Linked DNA regions of Canis lupus familiaris. The protein of the gene in region 2 purifies or fractionates together with the protein of the main gene of each other region. This does not show direct contact. Links are inferred from orthologs where the notes say so. Each region holds a gene or a part of one and is shown on either strand. Other genes may lie near its edges. The genes, in order: SNTB2 and TNS2.

Evidence for each region.
Region 1: the proteins of TNS2 (region 2) and SNTB2 purify together in Homo sapiens (affinity purification with mass spectrometry; 4 studies listed by BioGRID and IntAct, with this or other methods). This does not show direct contact. The link is inferred for Canis lupus familiaris from reciprocal best matches to the Homo sapiens genes TNS2 and SNTB2.

The regions. Positions count from the first base shown.
Region 1 is NC_049226.1:80,930,249-80,938,734, forward strand, and holds part of SNTB2 (beta-2-syntrophin), read right to left. Parts: intron 6,515-8,486; coding exon 6,330-6,514; intron 5,823-6,329; coding exon 5,730-5,822; 3' UTR 1-5,729. UniProt on the Homo sapiens protein: Adapter protein that binds to and probably organizes the subcellular localization of a variety of membrane proteins. May link various receptors to the actin cytoskeleton and the dystrophin glycoprotein complex.
Region 2 is NC_049248.1:44,547,474-44,555,066, reverse strand, and holds the end of TNS2 (tensin-2), read right to left. Parts: coding exon 7,109-7,593; intron 6,997-7,108; coding exon 6,846-6,996; intron 6,728-6,845; coding exon 6,135-6,727; intron 6,018-6,134; coding exon 5,928-6,017; intron 5,708-5,927; coding exon 5,582-5,707; intron 5,409-5,581; coding exon 5,316-5,408; intron 5,225-5,315; coding exon 5,147-5,224; intron 4,996-5,146; coding exon 4,918-4,995; intron 4,677-4,917; coding exon 4,508-4,676; intron 4,348-4,507; coding exon 4,279-4,347; intron 4,167-4,278; coding exon 4,137-4,166; intron 4,011-4,136; coding exon 3,872-4,010; 3' UTR 3,386-3,871; downstream 1-3,385. Other genes in the region: SPRYD3 (SPRY domain-containing protein 3), read left to right, coding at 1-18, 398-455, 1,100-1,219, 1,307-1,479, 1,799-1,933. UniProt on the Homo sapiens protein: Tyrosine-protein phosphatase which regulates cell motility, proliferation and muscle-response to insulin. Phosphatase activity is mediated by binding to phosphatidylinositol-3,4,5-triphosphate (PtdIns(3,4,5)P3) via the SH2 domain.

The DNA.
Region 1 (8,486 bases), on a different chromosome or scaffold from region 2:
TTGGTGTGATTTATTCCTAGGGATATTCTACATGTTTCCTTCCAAACTAAAGTCTAATTATTTTTTCTTTAAGATTTTTATTTTTAGGTAATCTGTAGACCCAATGTGAGGCTCAAACTCACAACCCCGAGACTGAGTCACCTGCTCCGCCAACTGAGCCAGTCAGGCACCCCACTAAAGTCTAATTTTGCATTAAGAAAATTAAGCATAATAAAAAGAATGACCTACTTAAATGTACTTGGAGTTCTTTCACATTAGCATGAACCAAAGACTGAGCATCATTTTAAACATTTTCCAGTTAGCCACAGGAGAACTACAGATGTATTTTGGTAAAGGTATTAAGTGCTTAATTATTTAACGGCTGCTTGATTGATATATGGCATGGTGTAACTGAGAAATAATGGATTATGTGCTACTTGAGGGCAGGAACTTTCTTCTGGACCCTTGGGAGTGCCTAATAAATGCTTATTAGATGAAACAATACTTGAATTAGTATGTCATTCATTAGCCTTGCAGTTTCAGAATTCCTCCAGGCCCCCAAAGAACCTTTTTCTGTATTCCTGAGAGACTTCTCTATCACTTTGGAAGAGGTGATAGAGCACTCAAGTTCCAAGGGTATAAAATGTGACTAGGATAAAGAGGGACTCAGAAACTAAAATAAAGCGTGTCAACAGCATGGAGGTAGGATAACAAGAGGACTGAGTAAAGGTACTAGAAATCTACCAGAGTAGCTAATCTAACAATACAATAAAGTATCATTTCTCTATTAATAGCTTTTTGGTTTCAACCAATCTATTTTGGAGCAATTCAAGGATTACAGTTCAGATGGTAGATTTTTGTTGAATATAATCAAACCTTCATTAGAGAACAAGGAGTCATTTGCAAATGGCATTATTTATGAATCACATCAAATGCAGAATCACTTTTAAAACTTAAATGTGCTTTGGTTCAGTCACCTGAAGTGGGAAGAAGAAGAGGTGGCAGGAGATTAAGCTCAAGTTTATCAGTTTTGAAACAAAAGAAGAAATCTTATAAAAGTATTTTGTTAATACATAACAACTGTTCTTTCAGTTGGTAGTTTAGCTAGTATCAAAAAAAGACAACAGATGTACAGGTGTGCTCTATGAACCTATTTTTGGTACTTTATTTTAACTAAAAATTCTATGCTTTGATAGAATTTGCCAGATTTTTCTTTAAAGAGAAATGGTTTCAAATCTGCCACTAAGTAGTCTATTTCTAGCATAAATTTCACTTATCATTACATGATAGGAGTAGCTATGTTGCTCAAAAACACATAATCCTGATATATAACATAATTATTTTATAACTGTCTGTTATCACACATTTATTGTCTATATACCCAGCACAGGGAAGGAGACAGTTTTAAAAAAGGCGGCAGGGGAGAGACTGCTACTGTCAATCTTTGAAGACGCTATGTAGAAAGTCAAAAGAATTCTAGATTACCAAGCAATCTTGAGAAACAGAACAGTAGCAAATGGCAGATTCCTCTGCTTTCATCTTCAAGAGGGAAAAAAAAGCCACAATAACAAATTTAACTGAAAGAGATTTTCAAACTCAAGACAGAATATAATATAATACTACCTGGTACATTATAGACCTGATGGAGATATACATACAAAAAGAATGAATATGATTATGGTCAAATTCAACTTAAAGTTTAAGCAAAGTCCCAAATTTAAAGAAGTCTCTTTTCCTTATTTGATCTGACCAGAGCAATCTGCTTTGAGACCAAAGAGATCTGGCATTTTACTTCTTCATTAGCAATCGAAAAAAGATGACCTTTGGCTTTCTAACCAGCCATTCATTCATGGTGTCAATGGTGGATGGCAGTGACAATGAAATGTATGCTGGATATTTGGATAATTTCAATATTATGTACAATCAATAGCTTATAACCAGTGAAAATAATAAGAACAAAGTTCAGCGTAAATGTCCAAGATAAGACACAAAAAAGCAGAGAAAGTGCTTAAGTCTACAGGTCTTCCCTGAAAGCTTCAAAAATGTTTAACTTTTAAGTAGGTAGGGCTTTTAATAGAATTTGCATAGCAGCTTACAATATAATTTGCATTTAAAAATATGGAGATTCTTCTATGTTTTTGAAAACATACAAATATATCCACATGCATATAAATTAAACAAGAAGACCTGGAGGTTCTCACAAAATTAAAAAAAAAATCCATCACAACCTTTTCTCAAAAGTGGTCACACTTCTGTCCATCAAAATCATTTACAATGAAAACTTTTTCTGGGAGAAACATAATCTTGTCCAGATTCCACACAGCTAAATTTAAAAAAAAGAATAAATTTTGGTTTATTAGCTAAGTGCATTTAATCAGCTGAAAAAAGCTTTGTTGCCATTCTACTTAGGAAGATAAATTAGGAAAATAATCAGAGACAACTTTAATCATTTGTTGGTTAGATTTTTCCACTTATAAAAATATAAAAAATAAATAATTCAACCTCTCCTGCCATCTAATAATGTTCCACAATAAAGTTGTGAGGGTACAGCTGATAAAAGCAGGCACTATCAGACTTTACCTAGCCTAAAAAGTGCTAAAACATGGCTTTAAAATAGATGAATGACATTTAATGTAATATTTTTGATTGCTTGTGCATGTTCCAATATTTAACCTGAAACTGTCTACTAGATAGGTGAGTTTACAGTTATAACTATCTAATAAATACTGTATAAACATACATTAAAGTATTTCTTCATATAAGATCTTAGAAACTAATTTTCAGATAAGGTTTGTTTGATAACTTCAGGAAAGGGCTTACCTTTTTCAGAAAAGAAATAACTGAGCCTTTTCTTTCTTTCTTTTTTTGGAGAGCAAAATGAGAAATTTAGGGAGTGAGGAAGAATTTTCACATGCCAATTGGCTACTGGTAGACACATCTGTGTGGAATATGGAGAAGATGTCTAAGCCCCAGGTCTGGGGTTAGTTGAGAGCACAGGAAGCGGGTCCATTGGGATGAGGTGGACACTACTCTGCAGTTTCCATTCTACACATGGAAGCCCACAACATTCCCAACAATATTCCCAATTCAAAATGAAAAAGAAATGACAAGTTAAGCTGTTCTATAAAATATGTGAAATACCAAAAATGCCCATTTTTAGTTACCATTTGAAAATATTTTGCCATATTTTGGCATCTTAATACAAAATACCTATTTATCTAGGCTGTCCCATTCATAAAAAGCACTTCATTTGTGGTTTGAAAATTCCACAAACACACTTAACTGAAGAACAACCTGGTCATCCATGATGATGATTGGAAAGCTGCTGATGTTAAAAAAGCAGCTTAAGGGCTCTTGCTGTCAGGGGTGCTAGTGGTCAAAGGAAACCTCCCACATATTTTTATTTCACATTAAGACTCCAAAGATTAAAAAACAAAACAAAACAAAAAAAACCCTATGGACCTTGGTGTTATATGTGACAGTTCAAGCTTGAACAAAATGAGTCAAAATGGCTCACACGCCTTACCTTCTCCTGCTCACATCTTCATCACATCTTTTTTAGAGACCTTTTTCATAGAATTTATGAGCACCAGGGCTTAGAAGTTCCCCCTGAAAATATTCTCAGTGGCTTAGCCTTTCACACCACCACCAACAACAAAAAACCCCAAACAAATGGCTTTGCTGCAGTCTGTGGCTGCATGTGCAACTTTTCAGGTTAATAATGCTTTCATGGCAAAGAGTGTCTAAGCTCCCTTATCTGAGGGTATTATGTGTTGAAATTCTGCTTCCAGAAATCATAGCTGGACCTTCAAGATTCTATTTTTTTGTTCCCTTGCAAATTTACTTCACATGGAACCAAACATAGGTTTATAAATCCCTAAAAGATAAAGTTCTTGAAAGACATACTCTAGATTTCAATTTCCAGTTTTAGGTGGATCAAATAACATTTCTAGAACTGTAGCTGGGGGAAGAACAGTTCTCTCTCCCTGGCCTCTACATGTGGTTAATCTCATGTACAAGGAGGACTGACCGACAGGCAGAGGGGAGACAATGGGGTTACATTGTCTAATTCACTAACTCTCTCCTCATGAATCTGCTCTTTAAGATGTTCCACCTAGGTCAGTCTGGACTCACACCAAATAGCTCATGTTTTGCATTTATGGTTGTGGGTTTTTCCTATTTGGAGTGCTACCCTCTCCTCCACTCTCCAGAATGCTCACATCTTCTTTATGGCACTCCTGGTAAATCTCGTGAGAACTGTTCCTAGACTTTCCTTCAGAGAACATCCAAGTCAATATAACCTTTTCTTTCAGATCTGGGGGCTGTGGTAATCTTGACATCTTATACAGCTATTATACTATTTTAAATGTTTTCAGATATATACCTCCCTCATTATCAGGAAAAACAAGCTGAGCGTGATTCTTTAATACTACAAAATCAGCAATCTTACTGGTACTAAGTCCTAATGATGACATCTGGCAATGCTTAGCAAAACCCAGGAAACTGTTCCATGGTCTCGTCACCCTGCCCACTGCAGAATGCATTACTATGCCAACATCACTGAGTTAGCAGCTGCCTGTCCATGCCACTCTGCTGCCACAAAGGGAGAGGACCAGGGCCAGGATCCTGCATGGGCTCACAAAGCCCAAAACAGCTCAATATGATGTTTGTGCTGAAGAGCTGGCTTTACAGGCAGAGCCTACTCTTTAAGCTAGTGGGCTCTCCAGGATTTATCTTCCTCAATGAGATCTGCCCACTAGAAAAGACACTACTAAGGAAATTCATCTCAAAGTCTATTCTTCAAAACTAAGATGGATGATCTCCCTGGAATGGCAGTGATATCCAGTTATTCAAATAGTGACTAATAAAGCTCCACTAACCCTAACCAAAGGCACATTTGGTAAGCAATAAAAAATGGCTTAGGCTAAAATGAGGATTTTCTTTTAAAAGAAATCTTATCATCCCCTGGCTCCTACCAAAGATAAATCAGAAAAATCTAAAGCAAGCAAACCTCTTCTTTCAGATCAGTGGTTTCCAACTTGGTCACCACTAGAAAGGGAGTGGAAGGCAACACTAATAAAATTTCACAAATTTTAAGTCCTAATGTTAGCACTGATGAGTGACAAAGCTTGTGGTGTGTTGGAAAGGTGATGATGACCAGGGTGAGATGCACGAGAGCCAAGACAGATGGGAGAATGCTTTGGTGTGCAATTCGAGGACTTCGAAAGGTGGAAGGATTAAGTGACAGTAGCCTTTGACAGAATGTACAGCCTATTTGGAATGGCCAAGAAGCACAGGCGGCTGTCAACTAGCATGTGGGAAGAGATGGTTGAACTAAGCCAGACACCAAGGCTAAGCTTGAAACAAATCCTGCAAGAAGAAACAAAAACAACTCATGGATATTTGATTATGTCCCCCAAAAAACCCCACAACGAACCATCCTTCTTCACAGGGGAAATAAACCTAGTGACTTAGAAACCACATTGGGAAACGAGGCAATAAATCAACAGCTTCAGTTTGGAGCTTATTAGAGTCCTAGAATTTCTGGCAAAGGTAGCTTGTGAAAGGCAGGCTCTTCTTTAAACACGGTTACTGTTCAGCAGTGATCTGCAGGTTCTTGTCAAGGCACTGTGCTGGAGGAGAGAGCAAAGAGCTTGCTTTTTGTGCTTTTTGTGTTTTTTTTTTTTTTTTTTTTTTGAGGTGGAAATACTTCTTGTGACATTCAAGACTCTTTTCTGATTTTTTGCTGCTCATACGAGCAGTCCCATGCGAGTGACTTTGGCTGACAAGAATGTGTGCAACACAAATACGATGGGCTTCGGACAAGAGTGCAGGTCCATGGTCTGTGGAGAAAGCACATGAATTATCACTACCACACACAGAAGCTTTCATAAACAGAAACAAAATAAACACATTTGGATGAGATATTCTACATTTTTAAAAGATTTTATTTATTTATTCATGAGACACACACACACACAGAGATAGGCAGAGACATAGGCAGAGGGAGAAGCAGGCTCCACACAGGGAGTCTGACGTGGGACTCGATCCCAGAACCCCAGGATCAGGCCCTGGGCCGAAGGCGGCACCAAACCGCTGAGCCACCTAGGCTGCCCCAATCAATAAAATCTTTAAAAGAAAAAAAAAAGGAATGATTTCCTAGCGTGGGTAAAAGAAAAACACACGTGTACACACAAACCCGAAACCAGAATCCAATACATCTTGAAATCTGAAGAACAATCTCCTGACTCCAGATGGACTATCAATCCATAATTTTCTATATAGAAGGTAAGAAACAATGAGAAAGAAAGATAATACCTATTAAACATACTTTTCAGAAACACCCTTACCAGTTCTCCCTCAGGACCACCAAAATCCAGGTACAGATTTCTGATGCCATCATCAGCAGACATTTTCAGCCTTTCAAAGGGGTAGCGGTACAATATGCTGCTGGAACCTCCATTTTCCTTGGAGATGGTGAACCCATTTTCATAGTGGACAGTCAATCTTACCTCTTGGCCATTTAGTGTGCAGCCTGTTGAAGACAAGGAAAATCCATCATTGATAAAGTTACTACTTTAGTTATCAAGTGGAAAAGGATGCTTCTGACTTAAAGGAAAAAGAATCTTTACTTGAGAATATGTGATACCTACCTGATTTAGAACTCCTTAAAGTAAGTTTTGTTTTGGTTGCTTGGATCAACATCTTGATTGAGGCGAGAAAAAAAGTATCTTTTTCTATGACACCTGATCTGATTCAGTTTGATTCAGTGAGTATCTATTAAACATTGGGCCTGGCAGTAGACCGTGTGTGCAGAAGTAACAGGCACGGTCCCTGCTCTCAAGGACTTCATAAATGAATAGGCATAAACATGAAATTCCTAACTGTATTAGGTAGAATGTATAGAACATGACTAAAACACTAGAACGAATAAGGCCAAAATCAAGGAAAAGTTTCCTGGAGGAGTTGGGACTTCAGACAAGCCCTAAAGAATAGGTCAGACTGGATAGGCAATACAGAAAGGTTTTCAGTGAGCAAGAAGAAAAAAAAACAAACGAGAAAAGGCAGAGATGCCTTTTAGGGGTAGTAACATGGTTTGGTTGGTATTGGTGAAGAGGATGAAGATAATGTTCATTATTGAAGGTAGTGGCTATAGTTAGCCAATGTCAGTCCTGTCAAAGATAAAATTCAAAGGATTGATCTGAATTGATAGGGGAAAAAAAACTTTAATCAAGACGACACATGCCTTCTGTCAAGATTGGTGAAGTTTCTGTTTCAATAACATGTGAGCAGTTTTGTTAGTATCGGAGCTACAAGTATAAGGTCCTCTGAGACCTGGAAATTAACTCAGCCCTTGGAAAGATGAACTTCAATAAAGGATCAGAGTCACACTATGCTCGGTCACAAAAAGTAGCTTCCAAATAAGTGAGTCCTCCTACCCAGACCAATCAGGGTATTCTTTTACTCCACTTGCAAAAACATTCAATTAGTTAAGACAGATCTGTGTTTAAAAATAAGGAATAAGAAAGAAGAACAGACAAATATTGGCAGTGTCCCTTCTCAGCACAACTTAAAGAAGAGGATTTTGGACAAAAGACTTCGAATATTAGTTATCCTCAGGAAAAAAAACCTCAGGGGCGAAACATGGATAAAACTACTTGTAGAAAGTAATTCAATGCAATGATCTCCGAATAAATAGCTAAGGGTTTGGAGGAAGAACAGATTCTAATCAAAGCAACCAGGATACAGTTTTCATGAGAATTTTATTCTATCAACATCCCTGAAGCCTTGGCATAGTCTAGGATAGTGAAATCTGATTAGAAGAGAGGGGTCAGTTCTAGTCCAGAAAAGAAAAGCTCAAAGAACAAGGATCTGTTCTTGACGCACTGGCTAGAGAAGGCGCCACGCAGGTGGGTGAGTATTTCTGCCTCCAGGTGTGTCGCTAGTGGGGCCAGATCAGGTGACTGCAACTAGCAAAGCCAAGTCATTAACAGCATAAAAAGAAGTTTCCTAAAGGTTCTGTTTAGGATTGTTTCCCCCCATGAGGGAAGGAAAGGAAAGCAAATGTAGTGTCTGCATGTTACTTAAGAAAAAACTGGGGCACCTGGGTGGCTCAGTTGGTTAAGTGTCTGCTTTCAGCCCAGGTCATGATCCCAGGGTCCTGAGATCAAGCCCCACAGACTCGATCTCAAATTTTGAAAAAGAAAAACAGAATATTGTTTATGATCATTTCAAATTTGAAAGGAAGGACGTTACACCGAATATGTTTGGGTTTAGAAGTGAGTTTGTTTTAATTTAAAATTATAATTAATACCAGATAATTTTGAAAATATAAATTGGTCATAACAATACTGTGCCTAATAGTTCTTAGTTTAGTGGTTTCTCCCTAAATGGTAGGTAAACATAGTGAAGCAATGGTGATTAAGTACCTGGCACCTCTCATCCTCAGATGGTGTCAGGAGTAGTGCACTAAAGAGCAAAAAGCCTCTGACTGATTTAACAAATAT
Region 2 (7,593 bases):
TTGGGGCTGGCCCGGAAGGTGGGCACTTGTAGAGCTGCTCTGCTCCGGGGCTGGCGGGATGGGGTCCCGAAGCTCTTGGGAAAGTTGGGGGGAGGTGGGCAGGCTGTGGAGGGAGGGTCTTAACCTGGGACAGAGCCCCCTCCCCCCATGACCTAGGACCCAATGGAAGGTCGGCCTGAAGGTGGGATGGGGTGGCCTGCAGCCCTGGCTGGGAAAGCCAAGTGCCCTCGTCCCCCTCCCTGCTTCCCTGGCTTCTCTAGTGCCCGAGAGGCGTGGGAGGCCACAGGGTTGTGAGCAGCCATCTGTCTGAAAAGATTGAAGGTTCACACGCCCTCTGTCCTGTCCTCTTTCCGCACATGGTACCTACCGTAGGTTTTCTTTTTCCTTCTTGGTGCAGGACTATCCCAAGAACAGACACCCTGGCTGGAGCAGAGGCTCTGTGGCTTATCATGCAGGTGAGTGGGGGCTGCCCTAGAGCTGCGGGGTATGTGGAGGCATAGAGACACGCCTGTTCCTGACACCCCCCCAACCCCCCGCGGATGGTCTCCCCTCCAGCCTCTGGCAGGGGAGACTTTCCCCGGCTGCTGTCTCCTCTCCCTTTCCCAGGCTGGTAGTGCTTTCTCCTGATTTTCCTCGTAGCCTGAAAAGCCAGGGGAGCCGAACAGGGGCGGGGGATCTGGGCCCAAACTGGACATTCCAGGCCTCTGAGTTGGCTCCCTCTGCGCCTTCTTGTAGATCCTGCCTTTTTTTTTTTTTTTTGGATCAGCTTGATTTCCTTTAGGGCTCTCTTTAGAAAGCAGTTGCCCTGAGCTCCTGGTGCCACCCCGTCCCTTCCTCAGCCCTCTCCCTCTCCCTCCAGCTCCCTGAGGGAGTCTGTCCCTCAGCCCCTTGAACAGAGTGTCTCTTTTTTAAATCTGGGGCCTCTTCCTATTTCTGTCTCCATTTTTGTTTCACCTTGACACACCCCCACCCCCGGGGGTGGGGCAGAGAGGGAGGCAGGCCAGCATTCTGCTTGAAGCAGGGACCTCTCTGTGTGCAGGGGCAGAGCATCAGCCCCTCCTTTGGGTGCAAGTCTCCTCTTCTCCCCTCCCTTCAACAGATGATGGGAAGATCTTCCATGGCAGTGGCGTGGGGGACCCCTTCGGGCCACGCTGTTACAAAGGGGACATCATGGGTTGTGGCATCATGTTCCCCCGGGACTACATTCTGGACAGTGAGGGTGAGTGGGTTGAGGGTGGCCGGCCAGGCGTGTCGGGCCGACGGTGGGGGCAGCACCACAGGGGCTCACGTTTTCCCGGCCTCCTAGGTGACAGTGATGACAGCTGTGACACAGTGATCCTATCCCCCACTGCCCGTGCCGTCCGGAACGTCCGCAATGTCATGTACCTGCACCAGGAGGGAGAAGAGGAAGAGGAGGAAGAGGAAGAGGAAGAAGATGGGGAAGAGATTGAGCAAGAGCATGAGGGCAAGAAGGTGGTGGTGAGTGGGGCGGGTGTGGGATGGGGGTTGGACTAGGGTTCCTGGGTCTGGGGGGCCTGCCCCTTGGGGGATAGGACGGGAGCCAGAGCGCGCCGATGAGGGGAGCCCTGGCAGGGGCTGCTGCTCTGAGGAGCTACGTGCCCCTGGGCCGCCGTGGGACCTGGTTTCCAGACGCCCCCTAGTGGCCACTTCCCGCTGAGGCTCCCCTCGGAGGGCCTGGGAGGGGGGGGTGCCCTGGGGTCCCGCCTGTGTGTCTGTGGCATCAGCAGAGGGGGCCAGAGCCAGCCTGCTCCACTCCTCGCCCTGCCTCCACCCCCAGGTTTTCTTCACTCGGAACGGCAAGATCATCGGGAAGAAGGATGCTGTTGTACCTTCTGGGGGCTTCTTCCCCACCATCGGGATGCTGAGCTGTGGGGAGAAAGTCAAAGTGGATCTCCATCCCCTAAGTGGCTAGGGGCTTCTCCCCTAGACCTGCCCTGCCTCCTTTCCCTCACCCTTTGCAGAACCAGGTGCCCAGTTCCTGCCTCCCCCCGGGTTTGCTTACCCAGCAGGCCCCAGGGAGTGCGTAGCCCCTCTGCCTCTCTCGGACAGGTCCCCGCCACGCCCCTCTGTGCCCACGTTCCTGACCTGTGCCATCCTGACCATCAGTCAGTCTTGGGCCTAAGTCCCTGGTTGGAAAGGAACAGGTCCAAAGGATGGTGTTGCTATACTGGTGGGTCCCCCTTGCTTTGGCTGGTGGACTCCCGCACCCGCTTTTCCCCACGGGCCGTGCAAGTGGAGAGGAGTGGGCCCCGTCTCAGCTGCTATTTGGGCATGAGGCTTTGCAGAGGGTGGAGTAGAGACTGCCCACTCCCCTATTTATCACAGTATTTCTCTTTGCATCTTCTCTTTTTTGTTCCTTGTCCTCATCGTGTGGACCAGTTGCTGCTGTCGTCCCCCCTGGCTGGGCTAGGGGGGCTCTCTCGGGCCTTCCCTCTCTTTCCACTGACTGCTGTCCCAGGAATGCTCCTCCGGGGTCTCCGCTCCTTCCCCTGACAGCCCGCTTGCTCCCTCGCCGCCTGCTCAGGTGCCGTAGAGTCCCACAGAGAATCTGGGTCTCCGGCTCCCCGCAGCCATACACACCTAGGTGGGTGTCCGTGGTGTGTTTAACGGAGTGAGAGGGGCTGCTTGGTGAGGGGGCTGGGCCTTGGCTCCCGTTCCCTCCTGGCCAGCCTTGGGCTACCCATGGCGCCCCATCTCTGGTTCCCTGGGCTGTAGGCAGAGTCCAGAGCAGTCTCTCCTGCCGTGGTGAGGCCGAGCCCCCAGAGCCGTGGTCGTGAGCCCAGAGGGCAGTGTGGCCCCTCGCCCCCGTTCCCCACCCCACCCAGGCCCCAGCTTGCTGCCTGTGCCAGTTGCCTGTTTTGCCTCAGTGTTTGACTCTAGCACTTACATGTGTCCTCCCCAGCCAAGCCCTCCTGTCTCCTGCCGCCTGACCCCGACCCCCTTCCCATACAGTGACTTCTCCTGGGAGGAAAAGGGGGCGGGAGCTGTTAGCCTTGGTTTGCACAGAGTGGGTGGGCCTTGGGGAAAGGGGGTGAGCTGCTGTGTGGCTGGGGTCCCCCCTTCGGCCCTCCGCTACGATGTATGAAATGTATGTACAGCCCAGAGATGTTTATACAGCCAATAAAGACGGAGTTTCTGTATTTATCAGTACAGTCTGGACAGGGGCGTCCTTTCCAGTCTATAGGGCAGGGGCAGGGCTAGAGGTGGGCGCAGCTGAGGCAGCTTGCTCGCCGGAGACCTGGACCAGTGTGAGGCCAAGGACGGGGATCGTGTGTGTTCTGTGGACCTGGCTGTGGCCTGGGATGCCCCAGGAGACGTGAGGCTTTGACCTTCCCATGAGCAAGGCTTGACTCCGACTCCGAGGTAATGTTCTAGAAATTCTTTATTAGACAAAAATAGACTCTTTTTTTTTTTTCTCCCCTATTCATGTGATCCCACTCTGATCCCTCTGCTCGGAGGGGAGGCAGAGGAGGGAGTGCCTTGCTCCCCGCCCGCCTCCCCGGCCTGCCAGGCTGGGACCTGCAGCTGGGTGGAGCTGGCAAGCCCTGTCTCCCCTCCAGGCCTGACGTTCTGCACGCGGGGCTGTCCAGATCCCCCCGGGGTCCAACTGCCGATGCCGCCTCACCCTTCACACGCCCGTCTCTGCCATCTGCGCACATGCGGGGTCCTCTCACAGGCCCATCCACTTGGCTTAGCAGGCTGGGGGCAGGGAGGAGAGCAGTGTCCCGGGCTCCCCGCTCCCGACGGAGGGGGCTGGCTCCTGGGGCTCCTGGGCCCGGGGAAGTGAGGACTGTGGGGTGCTGAGAGGTGCGCGGTGTTGGCGTGGGCTCCGAGCTTGTGGCCTCTGCCTTCACTTTCTCTGGCCCAGTAGGACTTTGGTGATAAAGGTGACAATGGCGCCCGCGGGCTGGTCTGGGTCAAGCTCTGCGAACAGGTGACACACGTTCTCCCATGGGCTTCCCGGCTTCTTGGCCACGAAACCAAAGATCCTAGGGGTGCAGAGGCAGAGTGGGGACGGGGCTCAACATCCCTTCCACAAGACACTGCTGAGCCACGGCTGGAGAGGGAGGCAGCGCCTGGGTCCCGTGGGGGGCAGGGGCTCGTGGGAGGCTCACTTGGAGGTGGTCCCGTCGGGGTTGGTCCATCTGCGGGAAGAGAAGGACGGTGAAGCCATGCACCCAGGGTGTGTGTCGCGGAGGAGGTCTGGGGGGGGGGCTGCCTGGCGGGAGCGTGGGCCGTGGGAGCCGGGACGCTCACCTCCGGTCCTGAGGATCGGTGCTGGAGAAGGTGATACTGTTCACCGGGTAATGGCGGCGAAAGAAGAGCCTGCGAAAAAAAAAAAAAAAAAAAAAAAAAAAAAAAAAAAAAAAAAAAAAAAAAAAAAAAAAAAAAAAAAAAAAAAAAAAGAAGAGCCTGCGAGGAGGATGGGGGGTCACAGCCAGAAGCGGGGGCCCCTGGGCTCCCTGGGCTTGGTGCACATACTCACTTCCTTTGGTTGTCTGTCAGCGTGATGCCCTGGGCCGAGACCTTGAAGTGGACGACGGCTGGGGTCGGCCGGGGGCTGCAGCTCAGAGCTGCCGAGCTGGCCCGGGCCACCGCCTGCGGGCCCGTCAGGGACTCGGTCTCCACCGAGGTCAGGTAGAGCACGCTGCAGGCTAGGGGCAGGAGAGGCCTCGTCCCTACCCTCCCCTCCCCTCCGCGCACCTGCTGATTGGCAGACGCTACGGTTTCCCCGGATCCACGGTGGAAGCTGCCGGAAGGAGCCCCGGGAGCCTGCGTTCTAGCAGGTGCCCATGATGCTGAGGTCCCAGATGGACGATCCCCCCGGTCAGAGACCCGCCCCCCCCCACGTCAGGGCCTCTCTGCGCCACCCCCCCTGTGCCCGGGGGCTCCTACCGGCGCCCTGACGGAGGAGGTCTGCCGCCGTGCTCATGTTGGCGGGCGCCGGGGCCTCTGGGGTCTCCTCCAGAGGATCTGAGGGAAGGGAGGGCCAAGGGCGGAGCTGAGCGGGGAGTCACCTTCCCTGGGAGCTGAAGACTCTGTTGCCCCAAGGGGGCACAGCCTTGGGCTCAGCGGGTGACGGGGAGCGGGCGGACGGACAACAGGACACCGACAGGACACCCACCTTTGCTGGGGATGCGCAGGCAGCAGGGCAGGGACAGCGGGGAGATGGAGTGCTGGGACACCAGGGCGGACAGGCTGCCTGCGGGAGGAGGGAGGCAGGTCCTGAGGCGCCCCCAGCTTTCCCGCCGGCCCCCCTGGACCAACCTCTGACCTTGGTACCCCCTGCTCACCAAAGTAGGGCTCGCTGGGACAGCCCTTGATCTTCACCCCTTTGGGCCCAGTCTCAATGAGGAAATGGCGCACCAGCTGCTCCAGGGGGTCCCCTGTGGGGAGGGGACAGGAAGGCTCGGTCACACCCTAGGGCCCAGCTTCTGCCCCTGCTGGGCACCTCCTGCCTCCCCCGTAGCAGGTGGCACAGCCCAGCCTGCCCTGTCCTGCCTTGGCAGCCTGTCCCCTCCACTCCTCTCCCCTTTCCCTCTGGTCTGGGCACGCGTACCTCTCCAGGGCTGGGCGCTGGGTGGAGCTGTGGCTACCTTGAGGGCCAGCCCATAGGCTCCTTGGAACGAGTGACTGTCCCTGATCAGGAAGGCGCCAGGGTCCTTGTCCTTCAGCAGGGCAATGGCTGGGAGGAGGCGGGAGCAGTGTCAGTGGCTGCCTGAGCCCCGGGTTGCCCCTCTGCCTCCGCCGCCCCAGCACTGTCGGGTCTAAACCTCCTTGGGCCCAAAGCCCAGAACCACCTGCTAGTGAGACTCAGCCCAGGGAAAGGGCGCCAACTGGAAGGACGGGTCCTGGAGCCAAGGCCAAGCCTGGAGGGGGATGGGAGCGGCACGCTGGCCTCTCACCTTGGTCACGGGACAGGTGTGGTTTGTACCAGAACTTGGACGTATCCTGGACGAACTTGACGTTGCTCTGGCTCTCTTGCGCAGGGGGCTCTAGGACGGGAGGGACTGGGCTCGCCGGTGCTTCCTAGCGCCCACGTCGTGTCCCTCTCCCTGGGAGGTGGACAGGGTTCTCCCAAGGGGGCCCCGCCCTCCTCAAGGCCTTTATACCTGGGGGCTGGGGGACTTGGTCCGGGAGCAGAGGTGCAAAGGTGACATGGTGACTGGTGCCCCTGGCTGGTGGGGAGGCCTGCTCGGGGCCCCAGGGCCCTGGCTGTTGCCCAGGTCCCAGCAAGTGGCGTTTCTCGGGCAGTGGCGGCTGCGAGGGGCCGCTGATGTCATAGGAAGCGGCCACGGGGAAGGCAGGCGTGGGGGAGCTCTGCGGCGGCTCCGGGCTGGCCACGAGCCAGGGCATCTGGGTAGGCACGGGGGTGAGGGGGGACCCGTCCGGACTATCCGGCGGGTCTCGGAGGCCCTGCCAGGGGGCATGGCGGAGGCCAGGCAGCGTGGTGGGCACGGGGCCCCGGGGGCTGGCGCTGTCCGAGCGGCTCCCTGGGCTCCTCTCCTGAGGCCAGTCGTGGGGTGAGCCGGGCGGGGAGGCGGCGGGGAAGGGGCTCGGGGCCGGGAGCTCAAGCCCGCTCCTCGCTGGCGCCTCGGGAGCCTTTTCTTCGGCGCCTCCCTGGGGAACGGACGGCAAGGGCTCGCCGGGACTTGGCCTCTGGGTGGGCACCAAGGTGGGGGACGTGGTGTCCTGCCGTCGGGTGCTGCAGTTTGGGAGGGCGGGTGGGCGGGCGGTTAGGGCGCGGAGCCCCGGCGGGAGCCGCTCCCCCCACCCCGCCCCCCGGGCTGCTTGGGCGCCCCCACCCCGGCCCCTCCGCGTACCCGTCCTTGCCCTGGACCGGGCTGCTGGTGTGCAAGGGCGTGGAGGGCCCCGAGAGCTCGGAGGGCGCGCTGCGTGGAGCATCACGGGGGGAGCGAGGCAGGGTGCTGTGCCCGCTGGGGCCCTCCCTCCAGGACGCCGGCTCGGGTGACTCTGGGGAAGGCGACAGGAGGGGCCATGAGCCTGCGGCCCCCGCTGCCCAGCTTGGCCCTGTCTCCCTCTGTGCCGCCCCCCCCATCTCCCTTCCCTGGGCGCTCGTCCTCACCTGCGGATGCCAGGGGTCCTGCTGGGGCCAGGTGCCCAGGCATCGGGTACCTGTCCCCTCCCTCCTCCGCGGGGATCTCGTAGCTCAGCTTCCTGGGTGGTGGGTAGGGCGGGCTGCCCGGGGAGACGGAGCCGGCCCGGGGGGAGTGGGCACCGGAGCTGGGGTACCCCCTGCCCTCACCCGGGGAGCCACAGCTCTGAGGCACCCTGCCGTACGCCGGGCAGTAACTGGGGAGCGCTCCTCCGTAGCCGTAGGTCACCAGGGCCGGGTACCCCGGATGCCCATACCTGCCGTCGGGGCACAGGGCGCAGGAGCAGCCCTCGTGCCCGTCCTCGCTGGCCTTGGGCGGCTTCAGGCAGCCGTAGTCGGGCATGGGGGCGTGGTGATGGCCGCAGGCAGGCACCAGCAGGGGCAGCGGGTGCCCGGGGCGCAGCGGGTGCAGCAGAGGCTTGCCCGCCTCGCCCGCCCACCCCTCCCCGGCCTCC